Linked DNA regions of Anolis sagrei. The protein of the gene in region 3 purifies or fractionates together with the protein of the main gene of each other region. This does not show direct contact. Links are inferred from orthologs where the notes say so. Each region holds a gene or a part of one and is shown on either strand. Other genes may lie near its edges.

Region 1 (7,873 bases), on a different chromosome or scaffold from region 3:
TGTCATAATGGTTATGTAATCTAGCCAAAGATTCTTAGCTCTGGGTTAGAAAAAAAGCTGGCTAAAAAGAGCAATTCTCCACACGGGCTTCTAAAAGTGGGTTCAAGCCTCTTCTTCTTCTGCCTACAATTTGCAGTTGACTTAGTTCAGTTTTGAGGCTCTTGGTGAATTCATGCAGTGTGAAAGTTATGCCGATTGCACCGATCTTGTCTTTTTACATTTTCAGTTCATATGAGCCTAAACAAAAATGAGGCACAGTGAGTAACCATTCCTGTGGACACCAGAGGTTTTTCTGTGATACAGGATTCAACAGTGTAATTTGTTTCAACTAGTCATCCCTCCACATTTGCTAGGGTTAGAGGCACAGAACCCCCACAAAAGTGGAAATACGGCAAATAAAAAGGAATCTATCTTAAAAGGAATCCATAGGTCCTCTAGACTTGTGGTGGAGGTTGGCCATCAAGTTACACTGGAAGGCCTAGAGGGACCATATCAATAAAATTTATGAATAATCTATAATAGCAAAACCTGCTAATTTGTAGGGCCGACTGTGCTGTCATTTGTTTTGTGCCATGTTGTTTGTAACTGCCATAAGTGCCTGCTTGTTTTATCCTCCCACTCATCACATGCGGTGTCTTTAGCAAAGGACTGCCTCCTCTTCATGTTCCTTCCACCACGTGCCGGCCACGTTTCCCAGTCCATGTGTGTCAGTATGTGAATCTTTCCAAACCAATTCTTTTTTTCCAATTTATCCCTCCCAAGTGATCCACCGCATCTGGTCTGAATTACCATAATTCCTGATCTTTGGTTGAGGCATGCAAATTGTAAATTTAATATCTTGAAGATCGGCAACTATCAAACCAATTACCATAACATAATTTGCATGCCATATGGATTTGCCCATTGAAAGAATATGCCAAGGCAGATTCAGAGAATGCCAAGGTGACTGATACTGACCGAGGGAAGAGGAATTCCTACTTGTCTAGAGCACTGTACTTTATGTTATGATGGAGATATGTGGATGCATCTCCCAGCTCTTCCTTTTAAATCCTCCCAGCTCTTTCTTTTAGCTAAGTGATCCCAACTCAGGACTGTAATGCAAGGTGGGAGGGAGTTAAGTTTCATTCTCAGTGAAATTTGCCCAGGCTTGCACATTACATTCATCTGGCTCTCTGTAGAAGACATGCCGGCATGGAAAACATTAGCATCAGAGTCATTTGAGCTTTATTCGCCCCCCCCCCCCACTTTATAGAACTCTACTATGATCTGTTTATGTCTCATATATTATGTTTTTTACAAATATATGGATACACATACACATACACACACACACACACACACACACTGTTTGTCACTTTGTAGGTCAATAGGATGGAAGAGCAGTATATACATATAGGAATAAATCATACATATAGGAAAATACATACATATAAGGGCCAGAGGTTTAGCACAGCTGGTAAATCACCAGCAACTATAAGATCTGTCAACCGAAAGGTTGCAAGTTCAAAGCCTTGGATCGGCATGAGCTGCCGACTGTCAGCCCTGCTCACTGTTTACCTAAGCAGCCGAAAACAGCTTTAGCTGTGATTAGAGAAATTACCGCTAAAAGTGGGAAAGGTGTTTTACGACAGCATAAAGAAAGAAGATCAGAAAATGCTGGTTGACCAAAAGGAAGGAGGAAGTTCTCACAGTTCTTCATCACAGAGGATGGAGTGACATCACCCCCCAGAGGCTGGACTCACCTTCCACGGCACCTACAGCTGGACACCGAGTCGAAACAACACACACCTCCTTTTGTTCTGTCTGTCTGTGTATTGTCTATACAGAGTGGCATTGAATGTTTGCCGTGTATGTGTATTGTGATCTGCTCCGAGTCCCCTTTGGGTGAGAACGGCAGAATATAAATAAAGTATTATTATTGAAATGGCAGGGAAAAGGTTCCAAGGAAAGGAGAGGCAAAGAGAGTCCCAGAGGTCTGAAAAGCACGGATTTATTACCAGCTGGGACCCTGGTGAGGAGTTCTCTCCTAAAGCACCAGAGCAAATGATAGAGGCATTGACTGTGCCTTTTATAGTCTCCAATCGGAGTCAAACAAAGAAACATGCTACTACATACATTAACGTAATTCCTACGTCATCTTAGCATCAAGTTCTAACCTCCAACATGCAAAAAGGCATGTCTGTGTATTTCTAGGAGCAGCCTGCATCCATCAGTCAAGAGGCCCACTTTGAGTTGTCAGGAGGGAGGGGGGATTGGCTCCTTCCTTAGAGCCTAGTTGTACCCGCTAGGATGGGCTTATCTCCTGGAATGTAGAGATAACCTGCCCCCCTTCTCCTCCCTCCTGCCATGCCTTGGACACAGATCTCCTTCAGCATTCTTTCTACACACAGAGAGAACTAGATTTTTCTATATTTCAGTGTTTGTAAAGTACTTACAATGTTATGCATAAATCAATAAATATCTATTTTCCAATATCTCCTCATTATTATTATTATTATTATTATTATTATTATTATTATTATTTTCCAGTGGGCTCCCATGGCTGTTTCCTCCGAAGTAAGTGCCATTGGGTTTTATGGAACACTCACCTAGGTAGGGACTAAAGCATTATTTTAACATGACCCGATTAAGAGAATGAATGCAAAAGTATAGAAACAAGCAAATGCTACTGAAAGTAGCAACTGTAATATGCATCTAGAGCAGACATGGGCAAACTTCGGCCCTCCAGATGTTTTGGACTCCAACTCCCACAATTTCTAACAGCCTCAGACCCTTTCCTTTTTCCTCTCAGCCGCTTAAGTGGAAAGGAAAGAAAGGAAGGGGGCTGAGGCTGTTAGGAATTGTGGGAGTTAAAGTCCAAAACACCTGGTGGGCAGAAGTTTGCCCATGTCTGAGCTAGACATCCACGCCTCCTTATTCACAGAGGCAACGCTGTACTGTAACTCCAAGTTCCTACTGGTTTGATATTGAATCTACTCAGCTGACTGACAATGGTTTACTGCCTATTTGAGCAATTGCCTTTCAGCATGATCTGAAGAAGCCAAAATTAGATGGCACCAGAAACATTGCAGCACATTGTTATAGCTGCAATCGCCTCCAGCGGAAGCTTTGTGTATTCTTGTGAGTGGAGTTATGGCTCCATCTACTGTTCTGAAACCGACATGTAAATATTTTAAAAGTCACTAAGAGGAATAATTCTTCCAATTTACTGAGGAGCATAAGGTCACTATAAAAGTGGGAAAATGCATTTTAAAAAGGTAATTTTAAAAAATTGCTTTTAGAATCTCTAGGTTCTCCAATGTGACTATGAACAACTTCTGCTGGCCACAGAATCATGCTGGAGGACCTGCAAATCCCTAGAGATGTATTCTTTCGAAACATCTCTAAACCAGAGCTGTCCAAATTGTGTGTTGTGCAGGCCCGTAGCCAGGATTTCGATTCGGGGGGGGGGGGGGGTTGAGTTTTTTTCAGGGGGTGTGCCAAGGAGTGTTGGAGTCTCACCAAGCTACAAATCCCAAGATCCTATAGCATTGAGCCATGGCAGTCAAGGTGGCATCAAAGTGCATTATATCTATTATGTTGCTGTTTATTCGTTCAGTTGCTTCTGACTCTTCATGATCTCATGGACCAGCCCACGCCAGAGCTCTCTGTTGGCGGATCTTGCCCTTGGTCTAGTGTAGAAGGGCCTTAAGTCGCATCAGCTAACTTCTGTGAACCATAACCAGAAACCAGAACGGCCTCCTCCCTGCAGGCTTTTAAAGACGAAGGCGTTTAAGACCATCAAGGGCTGCTGTGCTTTTGCGATGTGATTTTATATGCTTTTAAGGTTTTAACGTGGATTGTTTTAATATCAACGTTTAATACTGTTTGTATATGGTTTGCTGACAGAAATTATATTACCTTAACTCATTGGAGAGCCACGTATTCACATTTGTATACTTTTATATATCTATACAGATTTTATCAGATTATTGTATTATCTATGAGGTTTATCAACTACATGTTTTATCCTAGGCTGTTTTATTGGCATATTTTAAACTGTTCATTTCTAACTGTTTGTTTGTTTTTGCTTTATTTCTATTTTGTCAAAGACCACACCTGGAATATTGTGTCCACTTCTGGGCACCACAATTGAAGAGAGGTATTGACAAGCTGGAATGTGTCCTAAGGAGGGCGACTAAAATGATCAAGGGTCTGAAGAACAAGCCCTATAAGGAGCGGCTTAAAGAGCTGGGCATGTTTAGCCTGCAGAAGAGAAGGCTGAGGGGAGACATGATGAGGGCCATATATAAATATGTGAGAGGAAGTCATAGGGAGGAGGGAGCAAGCTTGTTTTCTGCTGCCCTGGAGTCTAGGACACAATGGAACAATGGCTTCAAACTACAAGAAAGAAGATTCCATCTGAACCTGAGGAAGAACTTCTTGACTGTGAGAGCCGTTCAGCAGTGGAACTCTCTGCCCCAGAGTGTGGTGGAGGCTCCTTCTTTGGAAGCTTTTAAACAGAGGCTGGATGGCCATCTGTCAGGGGTGATTTGAATGCAACATTCCTGCTTCTTGGCAGGGGGTTGGACTGGATGGCCCACGAGGTCTCTTCCAACTCTTTGATTCTATGATTCTATGAAAGCCTTCGACAATACACCTTTAAGTGGCCCAATGACATGTCCAGAATGATCAGCTTTGTGCTCTGACTCGTGGAAGGCCCTCTAACCATAGAGTGTACGAGAACCCGCCTCCCTTCCGTTGCCAGAGCGGTCGAAGCCGGCAGCATTCCGGAAGCGGAACCGGTGGCGCTCTGCCCCCGGTGCATTGTGGTCCGGCGGCGTTGCTGGGCTTGACGGCAAGCGCTGGGAAGTGTTGCTGCCAGGGGAGAGGAAGCGGCGACGGCGTCCTCTTCCTCCTCCGCCATGTCCTTCAACAAGATCCCCCCGCGGTGGCTGAACTGCCCCAGGAGGGGGCAACTCGTGGCCGGTGAGCGGACGCCTCGCACCCGCCTCCCCCAAGGCGGCATCTTTCCTCACTGGGCAAGGCTGCCATGGCTCCTTGCTGTGGGGTCGTGGAGTTGTCATCCGACGGGGCACCAGGTGGCAGAGAAGGCGGAAGAGCCCGGGAAAATGCCTCTCTCACACTTCCATAGCATTGAAGTGTTTTGGACTTAACTCCCATCATTCCTAACAGTCTCAGGCCCCTTCCTTTTGCCCCTCAGGCGCTTAAGCGGCTGAGGGGCAAAAGGAAGGGGCCTGAGACTGTTAGGAATGATGGGAGTTGAAGTTCAAGACACTTGGAGGGGCCAACGTTTGCCCAAGTCTGGCCCGGCCCGGGTAACTTCCTCTCACACTTCCATAGCCCTGGCAGCGGATGCTCCCACACTGAGTGATGTTCCAAAGGGACACAGCAGAGTCTTTGCGTTGCACCTGATGAAGTGATCTTCCCTCCACAAAAGTACAGGCTACTTTTGGTCCAACCTCCAGGTGTTTTGGACTTCAACTCCCACCATTCCTAACAGCCTCAGACCCCATCGTTTTCCTTTCCTAAGGAAAAAGGAAAGGGTCTGAGGAATTTGTGGGAGTTAGAGGCCAAAACACCTGAGGGCTGAAGTTGTCCATGCCTGTTGTAGAGCATCTCACTTGCATTTCTCAGATCCCAGCACACTGAGCCATGGCAGTTCAAGTGATGGCAAACTACATGAATTCTCCAGTCTCCATCAGGCATGGCAAACTTCAGCTCTCGGGGTGTTTTGGACTTCAACTCCCACCATTCCTAACAGCCTCAGGCCCCTCCCTTTTCCCCCTCAGCCGCTTAAGCAGAATCGAAGTCCGAAACGCTTGGAGGGGCCAAAGTTTGCCCAGGCCCAGCTTTGTAGGTTTCTCTCCATTTTCCATTGCTTTCGGACTGACTTTCTGACCAAACCACAGGAAGCCACCAGACACAATAATATTATCACCAAGTGGATTCTTATCAGATATGCCTGCCCAGTTAAAGGAATAGTGACCATATACAGGCAGTCCTCGGGTTATGAGTTGTTCTTCAGTTGAATTTGTAGGAGCCCCCGATGGTGCAGTGGGTTAAACCCTTGTGCCGGCAGGATTGAAGACCGACAAGTCGCAGGTTTGAAACTGGGGAAAGCGCGGATAAGCTCCCTTTTGTCAGCTCCAGCTCCCCATGCGGGGACATGAGAGAAGCCTCCCACAAGTATGATAAAACACATACACACACACAAATCCAGGCGTCCCTGCAGATAGCCAGTTCTCTCACACCAGAAGCAACTTGCAGTTTCTCAAGTCGCTCCTGACATGAATTTTTTAAAAAAAGTTGAATATACCTCTGAGGATGCTTGCCATAGATGCAGGCGAAACGTCAGGAGAAAATGCCTCTAGACAATGGCCATATAGCCTGAAAAAAACCTACAACAACCCAAAATTTGATTTTGTATGTAAGTTGGAATAGATACATTTTAAAGTATAACTCCTGCTATACACACACACACAAACATATATGTATGTGTGTATATATATATATATATACACACACACAAAAGCTATGGATAGCATTGTGAAAGTTTAACATCCCTGGATTGCTGTAAGTTTTTCGGGTTGTATGGCCATGTTCCAGAAGCATTCACTCCTCAGGATACTCTCTCCTCAGGAGGAGAGAATGCTTCTGGAATACATCCCGAAAAACTTATAGCAACTCAGTGATTCTGGCCATGAAGGTCACAACATCTGAGACCCACAGGTTGAGGACCACTTCTGTAAGGCAATCTGTTCCAGTGCTGAACCTCTCTTACAATAAAAAAGGGCTCCTAATGTTCAGATGGAATTTCCTTTCTTGTAATTTGAATCCATTGGTTTATGTTGTAGTCTCTGGAGCAGCAAATAATAAGATGGTTCCATCTTCTACATGACACCCCTTCAGATATTTAAAGCCAACTCTCATGTCTCTAATCCACCAAGGATTGGTGTCCTATATACATATCTCAGTATCTCTGTTTTGTCTTCTCTAAACTAAACATATCCAGTTCCCTGACTTGTTCTTCTTAAGACTTGGTTTCTTATGTTTGATCATATTGGCCTCTGTTCCTGTTTATCAATATCCTTTTTGAACTGTGGTCAACTGGATAAAGAATATTGTGAGGTCATTGATAAAAAAGATTATCTGATTGTAAAAACAATTAAGCAGCCACAATAGAGATACACAATTGAAGTTTTTGCAGTATTGTTTAATTATGTGTATGGTCCTTGATCACAAATGAGCAAACTTTTTTCTGATTTGGCAGGACTTTAATATGTTGAGTGTCAAATTTAGAAATTGCCAAGTTATGTAATACTTTGCCTAGATGCCAGTTGATGTTGCCAGAAAAAAACGGTACAAAGCACTACCTTTCACAGCTGTCTCTGAGTACTTAGAGCAGATCAGATCTAGGAGATCTTTTATTTAAGGAAGACTGTGATTTTATCCAAAATATGAAGTCAGAAGGACACGGGATAGATTTCCTTTGGTCTCCTGTTTACATATCCCTGCTTTCTCTGGGCTGATTGCTGGTTACTGTCTTTTTGAAAGGAATAATTTTATTGGTTTGCTGATTTCTCTAGACTCTTACTGATTTCAATAGCTACCATCCTAGTCTTCACTGGGCAACATAAGAACAAGTCACATGGGATCCAGTATTGATCTGATCTGATCTGCTCAGCTTCATCCCTGTTGGATTATATTGATTTCAGAACACACCTGATGGCATAAGCTGCATTTTGTACTACTGTATTCCCTTATTTAGCAATTTAAAGTACAGGCTTCTATGAAATCTAGCAAACTTCTCTGTACTTCTCTGAATATTTTAATACTGATTATATGCTTGTTTATATATGCATGTTCATAA
Region 2 (7,019 bases), on a different chromosome or scaffold from region 3:
GATTAGATCGTTTTAATAACAGATTATATTATCTGTGCCAAAACCTTTAGGTACCAAAAGGGAACTGCAAAAATCCTAAATGACAAAATATTATTGAATTATAATACAACAGAAAGTGGGACTCAACAAGATACTCTAAACGTGTTGCATTGCCATTTACCAGAATGTTTTAAAGGGCAACCCTAGTTTAATGAGAATTAAAAAGGACACCTTCTGATTAAGTATAGTTAAGAGCTTTACAGCTGGCCATTAAGCATATTATAGGAAGCAGTTCTGCTGAGGGGCAATAAAGTGCTCTGAAATACTCTGACTTTTAAAAGCCAGGATGTATACATAAACTTTCTATTAATTTATTTTTTTAATATTTTTTTTATTTTAGGACATACACAACATTTACAATTCCCACCACCATGAAGATTGTTTTCTTTTACATATTAATCCTTTTGGAGATTTTTTATTTTCTTATTCTCATCCCATTCAAGAAAGAAGTAAAGTTACAGCCAAGTAAGAGCAGGCAAAGAGGAAGCGAAGCAAAGAGCACATTGTAGTATTTGGAAGCTATCTGCTTTGTGGGGCCAGAAAAAGTCTCTAGCAAGTGGTCTTTAACGTGCAAAACAGGGGAAAGGGAGTTGAACAGGACATTAAAGGAATCTGGCAGCACCTGTAAGATACATTTCTAGTTTATAACTTTCTTTTTTGTGTAGACATTGACCCACAAAAACGGATGCTAAAATAAAAACTAATCTTAAAAAGTGTGGCTAGATTTCCCCCAACCCTTTCCCTCGCTTTTCTTCTTGTTATGCTACAACAGGCTAACATAACCCCTTCTTTAAAAATTATTTTAATTGTCAATTAACAATATCATACGAAAACTGACTGGCACAAGCTGGGGATCACAACCAGACACAGTGAAGACATCTCCCCTTGCGCTATGCTACTCTGCTGCTGAGTATGCATGCCCAGTGTGGAACACATCTCACCACACTAAAACAGTGGATGTGGCTCTTAATGAGACATGCCGCATTATCACAGGGTGTCTGCGCCCTACACCACTGGAAAAATTACACTGTCTAGCCGGTATCGCACCACCTGACATCCGCCGGGAAGTAGCAACCAATAGTGAAAGGACCAATCCTTTGTTTGGGTATCAGTCAGCATGTCAACGACTTAAATCAAGAAATAGTTTTCTAAGATCTACAGAGACACTCGCTGGAACATCTCAGCAAGTGAGAGTCCAAAAGTGGCAGGCTCCAACCCAGAACCTCAATCAATGGCAGATACCAAATGAGAGACTCCCCCCTGGGCACACAGAAAACTGGGCAACATGGAAAGCATTGAACAGACTGCGCTCTGGCACCACGAGATTCAGAGCCAACCTTAAGAAATGGGGCTACAAAGTGGAATCCACGGCATGCGAGTGTGGAGAAGAGCAAACCACTGACCACCTGCTGCAATGCAACCTGAGCCCCGCCACAAGCACAATGGAGGACCTCCTTGCGGTAACACCAGAGGCACTCCAAATGGCCAGATACTGGTCAAAGGACATTTAATCAACTACCAAGCTTGCAAACTTTCTGTTTTGTCTGCTTGTTTTGTTAAAAATGTAATACAAATGTCTGGTTGCTCCTGACACAATAAATAACATTTTAATTGTTTCCTTAAAGGAAGACCATTTATGTAGCTAGAAGGAGATTGAAAAAGTGTTCAAATCTACCAGAGACCATACAACATTGGTCCTCAACCTGTGGGTCCTCAGGTGTTTTGGCGTACAACTCCCAGAAATCCCAGTTTACCAGCTGTTAGGAGGCAAAAACATCTGGGACCCACAGGTTGAGAACCACTGCCATACAACATAGATAAAAAGTACTCTGCACATGCTCAAGGGCAATTACTCTTTAACTATAAAAAGTATACACCCTTAACCGCTTATAACAGAGGGGGAGGGTGCATTAAAATGTGTACAGTCCCCAAGTTACAAACAAGATAGGTTCTGCAGGTTTGTTCTTAAGTTGAATTTGTATGTAAGTCAGAACAGGTACATTTTATTAAGTGCAACTCCAGAGATATATATATCTATCTACCTATCTTTGGTTAGCATAGGGAAAGGTTGACACGCCCATGGTGTTTCTTTTGCTGTCTGTTCCCCTGTTCAGAAGATTTCACAGCACTTTCTGTCCCTGTGAGAATTGGATTGTGAAAAATATGACTTGTTGTGGAAACAAGGACTGGTGATAAAGCTTCAGGGGAGACACGTTTTCCCCATGCTAACTCTTCCAGGAGTGAATTTCCCTTCCTAGGAGTAGATTTCTCTCACTTCCTGTTGTCTCACCCCCATTCTTAACTAGGAGTCGTCTATAAGTCAGATGTTTGTAACTCGGGGACTGCCAGTACATCCTTAACAAGATCAAAGATTCCAATGTGGTGCACAATTAGTAGTGAAACCTCAAATGAAATGTGCAACTCTATGCTTTGACCATGGGGTCATTGCATGGCTGCGCTCGCACATGAATTTGAACTCCTTCTATGGTTTCAGCATTGGAGTATGACTCTGAGACCGGGGTTCGTATTCCCACTCAGCCATAGAAACCCTCTGGGTAACCTTGGGCAAGTCATGCTCTCTCAGCCTCAGAAGACCAAGGCAAATAACTTCTGAACAAACCTTCCTGTACAAACCCAGTGAATGGTTCTCCATAGGTCTGAAACGAATTGGGAGGCACACAAGGAACAAGTAAACGTACTCTAAAATGGAATCTATAACTTTAGCTAATTAGTATAACATTTCATCTTCAATATAAACATATATATTTAACATCCAAATAATCTCCATAAAGGTAAAGGTTTCCGTTATAGTCTATAATCTCCATAGCTATTATTAGCTGTTAAAAGTGTGTACATTGGGGGGGGGGGGGGACTATACATCCCAGGTGCTTCTACACTATATAATTAATGCAGTTTGATACCTCTGTAACTGCCCTGGCTCAATGCTATGGAAACCTGGGAGTTGTAGTTTCACAAGGCCTTTAGCCTTCCCTGCAAAAATGAATCCTATGAGTTGTAGTTTCGCAAAGCCTTTGGCCTTCCCTGCTAAATGAATCCTGGGAGTTATAGTTTCACAAGGCCTTTAGCCTTCCCTGCCAAAGGAATCCTATGAGTTATAGTTTCACAAGGCCTTTGGCCTTCCCTGCTAAATGAATCCTATGAGTTATAGTTTCACAAGGCCTTTAGCCTTCCCTGTCAAAGGAATCCTGGGAGTTATAGTTGCACAAGGCCTTTGGTATTCCCTGCTAAATGAATCCTGGGAGTTATAGTTTCACAAGGCCTTTAGCCTTCCCTGCCAAAGGAATCCTAGGAGTTATAGTTGCACAAGGCCTTTGGCTTTCCCTGCTAAATGAATCCTGGGAGTTATAGTTTCACAAGGCCTTTGGCCGTCCCTGCCAAATGAATCCTAGGAATTGTAGTTTCACAAGGCCTTTAGACTTCCCTGTCAAAGGAATCATAGGAGTTGTAGTTTCACAAGGCCTTTAGCATTCCCTGCCAAAGAAATCCTGGGAATTGTAGTTTCACAAGGCCTTAGGCCTTTCCTGTCAATGGAATCCTGAGAGTTGTAGTTTCACAGGGTCTTTATTTTTCCCTCCAAACTACAACTCCCAGGCTCCCATAGCATTTCAGAGAAGGGAGACTCCCCTTGCACCAGCCTTGGAAGTGAAAGAAGGCTGCAACTCCTTTCCAGGCTTCACTTGGGAGCCTCTCTGAACCCTAGAAACGAAAGACAAAGAGTGAATCCCTCCTAAACTACTATGCCTTAGACCTGGGCTGTCCCTCCTCCCTGGCGCCCTCCCGCCTGTGACCCCAACCTGCAGCAAGACTCCCTCCTCTTACCTCCGCCTTCCCTCTTTCCAAAGAGACCGGTCTACCAGCACGGCCTCATGACTATTCTCAGGCCACGCCCCTTTGGGAGAAGCCACGCCCCTTTCCCAAACAACGCAGGCGCAGTGAGGGGTTAGAGGTCTTTCCCGGCAGCGATGGCGGAAGAGAGGACCCGCAGCGGCTCCAAGGCCAGGAGGCAGCGCCGGCGCCCGGGTAAACGCAGCTGTTTGTATCTATCCCCCCCCCTTTTCATCACATGGACTGTTCCTTCTCCCTTCCTCAATATGTGGAGGCGAAACCAATCCTATCTTCCAAGGGGGTGGCTTTCTAGGGATGGGAGATGCTCTATAGCTGTGATTATTCCTATACTACTGTAGGAATAATATAGTTGAACTGCCAGGGCTCAGTGCTATGGAATCGTGGGAGTTGTAGTTTTATAAGGGCAAGTTTCTCCCTAAGCAAACAGCGGGTTCCCACTCTGTTCCTACAAAAGCTTGAATTGATCATGTGATTTCATGTGGTTTGTCATCTCCCTGTATTTTTGGTTGTTCCTCTTAGGTAATAAACAGCCCAGTGTCCTGACAAATGAAGATGCTGCACAAAGGTATCCTGTCTCTCAGAATAACTGTTTGGTTGCATTATGTGTTTATATCTATTTTGTAAATCCTTCAAAAGGTTTATGAATCAACTAGCTGTCCCCTGCCACACATTGCTGTGGCCAAATCTGTGTATTTGTGTTTTGTGTGTGTGTATTTGGGTATCTATATATATGTGTGTGTGGTTTTGCGCATGCATTGTAATGTATTTCTTTTTATTTGAGGGCTTTTAGATGTTTCTCATGACTTTCTGATATTCCCTTCTCTTTGAGACACATATTCTGCCCTGTTTAACCTATTAAAGACTGGCAGGTCTTTAGTCCAGCTGGCACAGTTTGAAATGAAAAGTGGGTGCCATTGTGTTCTTTGCTTCAGGCATCAAATGTTTTGCGCTGGATCTGTTCGTACCCACTTGTTTCTTAAGCAACTTCATATGAATTGCCAAAATGTGGGTCACACCACTATTTTTTCCCCTTGTAGGAAAGCAGCACTTGAAGCTGCTATTCGAAAGAAGATTGCGCATGAGCGAAAAGCCTTGAAGGTGGTTGAACGCCTCTTAGAAGACGATATCACTGAAGAATTCCTCACAAATTGTGTATGTCGTCTTGTTGCAGATTTATATAAAATATTTAGTTTAAATGTGTCAAGGTCTCCTATAGCTTGTTATGCAGTTAATGGTTCCTTTCCAAAGATAGTTTATCAATCTTTGGAGAGGCACCATAGATGTGTGTTAGCTTGGCAGTCTATGGCCCCTTCTACACTGCCATATAAAATCCAGATTATCTGATTTGAACTGGATTATCTGGCAGTGTAGATTCATGTAATCCAGTTCAAAGCAGATAATGTGAATTATCTGGGAATCATATAACCCTCTCAATCACTGCTTCTTAAACTGGGGTCTCCAAACTAGGTCCCCATAGCTCAATGTGGGGGTCCTGAAAAAATTGGCAAATGTAAACATTTTCTGAATGTCACCTAGTTGCTGTTTTAGACATGTACATGAATCTGTTGTGCAGCATTTACAGCAGACTCTGCAAAAGGAAATGTTTGATTTTTATACCAGTTTTATCTACCCAGGGCTGTGTAAAACTGTATTGGGCCAAAAGGTGTCACAAGTGGAAAAGTTTAAGAAGTCCTCTTCTCAATGACCTTGGGCTGCTGTTGTCAGCATTTCCCACTATTGTCTAGGCTGGTTCGTGCTTCTAAAAGTTTAATTCACAGCATTTGGAGGACTGCAAGGTTTCCCATTTCCTATAGGACATATTCCAAAGGGAGACTCAGCGTGAGGTAGAGGCTTGAGCATTGACTAAAACAACTGTAGTCCAAGGTTTGTAAATTAGAGATGTGTGAAACAGGAGAAATCTGTTCTGTTTTTGTTTCCAATTTTGAGTCCGTCCACCCATTCTGTTTTCATGAAGATTCTTCCCAAAACAGAAATTGAACTTGTTTTGTCGAACCCAAATGACTCCCCTCCTAATCTTCCTTTCTACTGTTTTACACACCGCTTCTTTGTATCCCTGCTCATCCATGAAAACCCACATTTCAAGGCAAATCTGTTTATTTCTTTTCAGGGGAAGTTCATTACACCTTCTCACTATAAAGATGTTGTGGAAGAGCGGTTTATCGTCAAACTGTGTGGCTACCCCATCTGTCGAAATAGGCTGCAGAATGTAAGAGTCTGTGAGTGGTGTATGTGTTGGTTCTTTTTCTGTAATTTTTTGAAATTTAAAATGCATTTCTTCCTGAAAATTATCCAGTACTTGCTTTTTTCGCCCATTTTCATTATCTTCCTGTGTTACAAATTCAAAACTGATTTAAAATGTCTACAGGGTTGCTTTGTGAGTAAGGATGTGAGCCTGGATATCCGCAGTTTTGAATCTGATAGTATATGCCAGTGGTTCTCAACCTGTGGGTCCTCAGATGTTTTGGCCTACAACTCCCAGTAATCCCAGCCAGTTTACCAGCTGTTAGGATTTCTGGAAGTTGAAAGCCAAAACATCTGGGAACCCACAGGTTGAGAACCACTGGTATATACTATATTGGCCCCCGGCATGGGTTAAAACTATGTAGTGTTCTTGCCACCTCTTTGTCCTGCCTCTGCTTTCATCCAATGTGATCAAGGAGAGGAAATCAAGCTCTGCATAATTTAGTTCTCTCTCTAACCTGGAAAAATTGTGTTAAATCTTAACTGTGGTTTACTGAAATTAGCAAACATCAGATTTAGGATTAAGAAGATAGTTTCAACAAATCATTGCTCAGATTAAACATTGTAGGTTTTGTGCACTATGGCAAACTTTAGAAAATGAGATTAAGCTTTCCTTTCTCCTTGCAGCCAAGCTAGGAGGAGAGGGAGAGTTTGGCACCAAAGAAGCCAATATTCTGGCACATAATAATTAACAGTAATATATTGTTACAGGCATACTGGTCCATCGGCTCTCATCGTACATAATAACACACTGTAATGTTTTGCTACATGTTTGCTGGTCCATTGGCTCTCCTTATCCATAATAATACACTGTAATGTATTGTTTCTTGCAGACTGGCCCTTTGACTCAT
Region 3 (7,312 bases):
ATCCCGGGATTTGTAGTTTGGTAAAGTGTTCCAGACAGAGTTCTCAGTGTTGTAGTTCAGGGGAGGACTAGAGCTCTCTAGTAGAGAATTGTGAGTCCCTTATCAAACTGCATATCCCAGAATCCTACCGGATGGAACCATGGCAGTTAAAGTAATATCAAAGTGCTATAACTGTGCAGTATTAATACTTTATTCTGGAAGCCTAATCAGTTGTAATTTTCACCTGATTAGTTTGATCGTCTAAGGACCTTAGCAATAGCCTTCTGGTCTGACTGGGAATTGGCTCATCCTTAGCTACAAGCAAGTGCCTTTTGGTCTAAGATGGAGTCATTTCAAAACACTCATTGTTGTGAATTTTCCTTGCTGCCGCCATGTATCTTTTAAGCTATTTTTAAAATTCCTCACCTCATCTCCATATTACAGCAGAGAATGTCATTGATCGGTGAAGGTTCAGTGTTTTGAATATTTCCTTTCTGAAGTTTTACTTTCTCATAATGAACAGCTAACTTTAACAGAGATCGTTCAGACAGAAAGATGTTATGGCCTGACTATATCTGATTATTTTGTGGACAAAGTACAGTAGTGTGTGATCCCCCCCCCCCATTTTTGCACATAACTTATTTTTCCTGATTCATTCTCACCATTGCAGTCTTCACTGACAAAATGCCATTTCCTGCTTATTTTCCAACGCCAACATCATTAACATTTTGATTAGTTTATTTTTTCTTTGAAAGCAAGGAACTTCTTATCCACCAGTGCAGAGATATCAGACCATTCTTTGTTATTACACTTGGTTGCCTCCTAGCTATATAACCTCTGAGTGTAAATCATTGAACTTTACCCTCTAATGAAGTATTGTAGAAAATAAATTGTAATGGATACAATTTTTATCTTGTCCCTTTTTTATTGGTGTCCGTTCTTTGTCAATATTTACTTTTCACGCCGAAATCCATTATGAATTCCACAATAAATGTTGTAAGGGTTTTTTAAAATAAATAAAATAAATAAATGAGTGAAACAGAAGTCTAAAGTGAGGATTGTGGAAGAATCGGCATGAAGCGGGTGGGAATCCTTCACAAAATTTCTCATTACAAAACATACCTCAAAGGTAATGAGACTAAATCTTGTTAAAAATAAAAGCAAGAACCTTCATATTTGTGTGTGTCTGGTATTATTTTTCCTGACCCATTAGAATACCGGTCATAGGCACTGGACTCAATCAAGATTACCATCTAAGTGACAACCTATTAGGTCCATTGTATTTTTCATACCAGAAATACTTAATCCCATCACAAGTCATTTCTTCACCCATTGTTCTGGGATGTGCCAACCCCTCTCTAACCATTGGACAGAGGGAAATCTGCATCAGAGGCAGCCAGTGCTCTCTTATTGGCTGAGATGTGCCAAATTCCTGCCTCTGCACGGAGTCCCTGCTGACATCTTGCCGACTCAGCCAATCACGGAGAAGCCGGGTCCAGCTGGGGGTGGTGGGAACTTTGAATGCAAAAATGCATTTTTATGGTACTATGTATCTCAGCTTATTTTTGGCAGATTACCGCATGCTGGCATTACTTCAGTTGACTAATAAAAAGTTTGGTGGCTTTTCCCCAACTTGAAGAGCTTAATTTAGTCAGATTAGGCCTCCTCTCGGGGCAGCCAGGCTCTTTGCCAATCACTGCTTAAAGGACTTGGCTCCCGGTCCCAGATTCCGGCTCTCCGCAGCTCAGATTTCACTATCTGCAGCTGCATCAAATTGCTCCATTTCAATCCCAAATTTTGTGTTTATCCCAGATTATCTGGCATAATCCAGTTTAATGCAGAAAACTGGTATACAATTCTGGGAGATAGGGTGCCTGCCTGGAAGGGTCCTCAGTTCAAAGCAGATATTGTAGGTTATCTGCCTTCATATTCTGGGTTATATAGCTGTGTGGATGGGCCCTGAGTCTCATTTTCAGAGAGATAAAGGATACAAATAATAGCAACAACTTTTATGCAGTGACTCAAGGTGATGGAATCAAGGAAGCTGCAGTTCAATAAGGTCTGCTCCATGGAGTGCTGGTGCCTCAGCAAACTACAAATCCCACAATTCCATAGCTTTTGAGCCATGAAACTCGGGGCCCTTCCAGACAGGCTCTATATCCCAGGATCTGATCCCTGGTTTTGTGTATCACAGATTATATATCAGTGGGGATTCATATAATTCAGTTTAAACCTGGAATAAAGGGCCTGTCTGGAAAGGTCCTAAAAGTGGTGTCAAACTGCATTGTTGTAGATATACCCTTCATCAAACTGTGCTATACCAAAAGTATTAGTACTTACTTACTTACTTATTTACTTACTTAGGCGATCCCTCGTTGGACGAGTAAGATGGTCTTCCTTGATTACTATTTTTGTGGGTTTGTAGGTGGCTGTGGAGCCCTATTCTTGACCCGCATCTTCTCCCACAGTGAAGGCATTGGTTTCCAGGTGGAAGGCGGTCCCGGTCGGGGTTGGCTTGACGCGCCTTCCTCCTGGCACGTTTCTTTCTTTCACCCTCCACTCGTGCCTCCTCGAATTCTGCAGCACTGTATTAGTAGACTCCCTTCTGTTAAGTCAGTGGTTCCTAATGTCACGACCCCTTAATGCAGTTCCTCATGTTGTGACCTTCAACCATAACATTATTTTCATTACTACTTCATAACTGTAATTTTGCTACTTTTATGAATTGTAATGTGAATATCTGATATGCAAGTTGTATTTTCATTAACAGGACCAAATTTGGCACAAATACCCAATACGCCCAAATATCAATACTAGTGGGGTTGGGGGGGGGGGTTGATTTTGTCATTTGGGAGTTGTAGTTGCTGGGATTTATAGTTCACCTACAATCAAAGAGCATTCTGAACTCCACCAACAATGGAATTGAACTAAACTTGGCACGCAGAACTCCCATGACCAACAGAAAATACTGGAAGGGTTTGGTGGGCATTGACCTTGAGTTTTGGAGTTTTAGTTCACCTACATCCAGAGAGCACTGTGGACTCAAACAATTATGGATCTGGACTAAACTTCGCAGGGATATTCAGTATGCCCAGATGTGAACACTGGTGGGCTTGTGGAAATTTATTTTTTAAATTGGAAGTTGTAATTGCTGGGATTGATAGTTCATCTACAATCAAAGAGCATGCTGAACTCCGCCAACAATGGAATTGAACCAAACTTGATACACGGCACCCCCTCGACCAATAGAAAATACTGGAAGGGTTTGGGGGGCATTGACCTTGAGTTTTGGAGTTGTAGTTCACATACATCCAGAGAGCACTGTGGACTCAAACAATGATGGATCTGGACCAAACTTGACAGAAATACTCTATATACCCAAATGTGAGCACTGGTGGATTGGGGAAAATAGACCTTGACATTTGGGAGTTGTAGTTGCTGGGATTGACAGTTCATGTACAATCAAAGAGCGTTTTGAACCCCACCAACAATGGAATTGGGCCAAACTTCTCACACAGAACTCCCATGACCAACAGAAAATACTGGAAGAGTTTGGTGGGCACTTACCTTGCAATTCACATACATCCAGAGAGCACTGTGGATCTGGACCAAACTTGGCATGAATATTCAATATGCCCAAATGTGAGCACTGGTGGAGTTTGAGGGAAATAGACCTTGACATTTGGGAGCTGTAATTGCTGGGATTTATAGTTCGCCTCTAATCAAAGAACATTCTGAACCCCACCGACAGAATTGAGGCAAACTTCCCACACAGAACTCCCACGACCAACAGAAAATGCTGGAAGAGTTTAGTGACCGTTGACCTTGAGTTTTAGAGTTGTAGTTCTGCTACATCCAGAGAGCACTGTGGACTCAAACAATGATGGATCTGGACCAAACTTGGCACAAATACTCAATATGCCCAAATGTGTGTACTGGTGGAGTTTGTGGGGAAATAGACATTTGGGAGTTGTAGTTGCTGGGATTTATAGTTCGCCTCCAATCAAAGAGCACTCTGAACCCCACCAATGATAGAATGGGGGCAAACTTCCCACACAGAATCCCCATGACCAACAGAAAATTTGCTGATGTCTTTGGAGACCCCTCTGACATCCCTCATGACTCCCTAGGGGTCCCGATCCCTAGGTTGAAAAACGCTGTGTCGGGGCACCCTGGACATTGAAACAAGGCACTGGGATTCATGCCACATGATGGTGACGGAAGAGCGCGTGTCCTCTCCCGCCCTCAAGGGGGCGCCCGCAGCAGAGGCTCGACTTCCCTTCTCTTCCCTTTTCTTGAGTTTCCGGGCTGTGGAAAGGCACTCAATGGCGGCCGGAGGGTCGGACGTGCGGGCCGTGGACGTGGAGGAAGACGCCTCCCAGCTGGTCTTCCCCAAAGGTGAGCGACTGGCTCCGAGGGAAGGGAAACGCCGTGGGCTTGGGAGGACATGGAAGTTGCTCCAGAGGAGGCAGACCTACGGGATCCTTTCAAAACAACACATGCAGTGTGCATCCAGGCAGTAGAATGAATGCAGTTTGGCCCCACTTGAACTGCCATGGCTCAGTCCTGTGGGAGGTGTAGTTTTTTCAAGGTCTTTAGGCTTCGCTGCGCAAGAGTGTTAGCACCACGTCAAACTACAGCTCCCAGGATGCCATAACACTCAGCTATGGCACTTAAATGGTGACAAAGTGCAGTGTAGATCAGGCATGGGCAAACTTGGGCCCTCCAGGTCTTTTGGACTTCAATTCCCATAATTCCTAACAGCCGTGAACTACCTGAAGATGTAGCTGATGTGATCGGGATAACAGTTTTATTAGCCACAGCCAATAGTCATATTACAATCTGTATAAATAAAAATATAACGTTTGTTTGTGGGATTAACATAACTCAAAACCCATAATAATAATAATAATAATAATAATAATAATAAACTTTATTTAACATCCCGCCACCATCTCCCCAATGGGGACTCGGGATGGCTTACATGAGGCCAAGCCCAACAGCATATTATAATAAAGTAAACAATAACAACCCAGTAAAATACATACAACATATGAATACAAAAACGATAAAACAAAATAATTTGTTTTAAATAACATAACAATGAGCGGGCCGCATGTGCAAGATAAAACTGACTTGGCCACAGTGGTCCACGCTTTGGTTACATCCAGTTTAGATTACTGCAACGTGGGGTTGCCTATGAAGACTGCCCGGAAGCTCCAACTAGTCCAACATGCGGCAGCCAGAATGCTAACACGAGCAGGGTACAGGGAGCATACTACTCTTCTGTTGCGCCAGCTCCACTGGCTGCCAATTAGCTTCCAAGCACAATTCAAAGTGCTGGTGTTAACCTATAAAGCCCTAAACGTCTCCGGCCCAGTTTACCTGTCCGAATGTATTCTCACCTATGAACCATCTAGGTTGTTAAGATCGTCTGGAGGCCACCACCGAGAAGGACCTGTCCCTCGTCCTGCTCTCGGTCCCACCGGCCTCTCAGGCGCGTCTGGTGGGGACGAGGGACAGGTCCGTCTCGGTGGTGGCCCCTCGACTCTGGAACTCTATCCCACTGGAGATCAGAACTGCCCCCTCCATTCTGTCATTCAGAAAATGGGTGAAAACCTGGCTATGGGGTTTGGCTTTCGACGAGTAAATCAATATTTCTGTGATCGGATAGATGATGATGAATGATGGACAACGAATTCACTATGACGACTGACCATTGTTATTATGTGATTGCATTTTGCTGTTATAACGTTTTAATTGAATATGTTATATGATGTTTTTAATTATTGTTTTGTGATTTTATTGTTGGAAACCGGCTCGAGTCCCCTGATAGAGGGGAGAAGACCGGTATACAAAATTGCTAAATAAATAAATAAACTAGATACCAAAAATACTAAAATCAGGATGAGATAGAGATGGAGCAGATTGTTTGTGGGGAAGAAACTCGTAAGGAACGGGGTCATAAATATAGACCTTCATACAGGTGGGGAAATATACTCTGGGGACAAAAACCGCTGAGGGGGAGCAACTGTGTAATACCCAGTGGACAATTGGACACAATACACCTATCAGGGCAACAAGTGACCATCACTCATAAAAATACTGGAAAACACAGCAGAACAGACTTAAAAAGCAAAAAAAAATTTAAAAAAATACATTACAATGGATGTGCACTTATATACACATAAACACAAATATATATACACACAAAGCACATATACACAGACTGGGCCACAGCAGTGCGTGGCAGGGGATGGCTAGTCTTTATCAATTAAAATGTAGTGTTCATTTGTAAGATTAACATAACTCAAAAACCACTGGGCAAATTGAGACCAAATTTGGACACAATACACCTATCAGGCCAACGAGTGACCATCACCCATAAAAACACTGGAAAACACAGCAGAAAAGACTTAAAAAGCAAAAAAAACAGCAACATTGCAACGCATGCGTGAAACCACATATATACACATATACACATACATACATACACAAAACACATATTCACAGACTGGGCCACAGCAACGTGTGGCAGAGGATGGCTAGTTTGTTTATATATTTTATATTCTGTGCATATTCTGGATATTTCTCTTTAGTATTTTTCATAGGATCAGTCATATTATTGTTTTTCTCATTTTTGTTAATAACCTTAAGTACTACCACCTATTCCTGCTTCACACACAGACCAATCCTAAAATAGCACCCATAAAGCTGTCTTTTTCTGTTTCTTTTGATCCGTTCCACCCATCTTTACCTACAGAGTTTGAGACTGCTGAAACCCTTCTCAATTCAGAAGTGCACATGCTTCTTGAACATCGAAAGCAGCAGAATGAGAGTGCAGAAGATGAGCAGGAGCTCTCTGAAGTCTTCATGAAAACGCTGAACTACACCGCTCGCTTCAGCCGCTTCAAAAACCGGGAGACGATTGCTAGCGTTCGCAGGTATGTAATCCTGAGAATAAAATCTTTTGTCATTAGCCAACGTGACAACTAATGTAGAACATCATAATAATACTGACCAGTAGTGCCTCTGTTTTGTCTAGATTTACCTTTAGCTTATTAGCCCTCGCCGAGTCAATTACTGAAGACAGGCACAAGTTTAGGGGCAGGACGGCACCCTAGGCTTTCGCTGGAAATGAGTAATACAATTGGGTGTCATCAGCGTAAATTTGACATCAAACTCCAAAACTCCAGATGATCTCTCCCAGCAGCTTCCCTAATAGTTTCCTTAATCTGAACAAAGGAAGTAGAGTACGTTATTGTGCGCAGTTAAATTTATTTTGATTCCCCGAATAAAGTTATTTTGTAAGTTGACCTTCAGGGAAAGTGAT

The links.
Region 1: the proteins of POLR2D (region 3) and RNGTT purify together in Homo sapiens (affinity purification with mass spectrometry; 3 studies listed by BioGRID and IntAct, with this or other methods). This does not show direct contact. The link is inferred for Anolis sagrei from reciprocal best matches to the Homo sapiens genes POLR2D and RNGTT.
Region 2: the proteins of POLR2D (region 3) and RPAP2 purify together in Homo sapiens (affinity purification with mass spectrometry; 5 studies listed by BioGRID and IntAct, counting the BioPlex papers as one, with this or other methods). This does not show direct contact. The link is inferred for Anolis sagrei from reciprocal best matches to the Homo sapiens genes POLR2D and RPAP2.

Annotation. Positions count from the first base shown.
Region 1 is NC_090021.1:105,173,990-105,181,862, forward strand, and holds the start of RNGTT (mRNA-capping enzyme), read left to right. Parts: upstream 1-4,792; 5' UTR 4,793-4,904; coding exon 4,905-4,968; intron 4,969-7,873.
Region 2 is NC_090024.1:150,132,287-150,139,305, reverse strand, and holds the start of RPAP2 (putative RNA polymerase II subunit B1 CTD phosphatase RPAP2), read left to right. Parts: upstream 1-3,987; 5' UTR 3,988-4,022; coding exon 4,023-4,080; intron 4,081-4,425; coding exon 4,426-4,471; intron 4,472-4,943; coding exon 4,944-5,058; intron 5,059-6,034; coding exon 6,035-6,133; intron 6,134-7,019.
Region 3 is NC_090023.1:220,842,005-220,849,316, forward strand, and holds the start of POLR2D (DNA-directed RNA polymerase II subunit RPB4), read left to right. Parts: upstream 1-4,262; 5' UTR 4,263-4,304; coding exon 4,305-4,377; intron 4,378-6,742; coding exon 6,743-6,923; intron 6,924-7,312. UniProt on the Homo sapiens protein: Core component of RNA polymerase II (Pol II), a DNA-dependent RNA polymerase which synthesizes mRNA precursors and many functional non-coding RNAs using the four ribonucleoside triphosphates as substrates.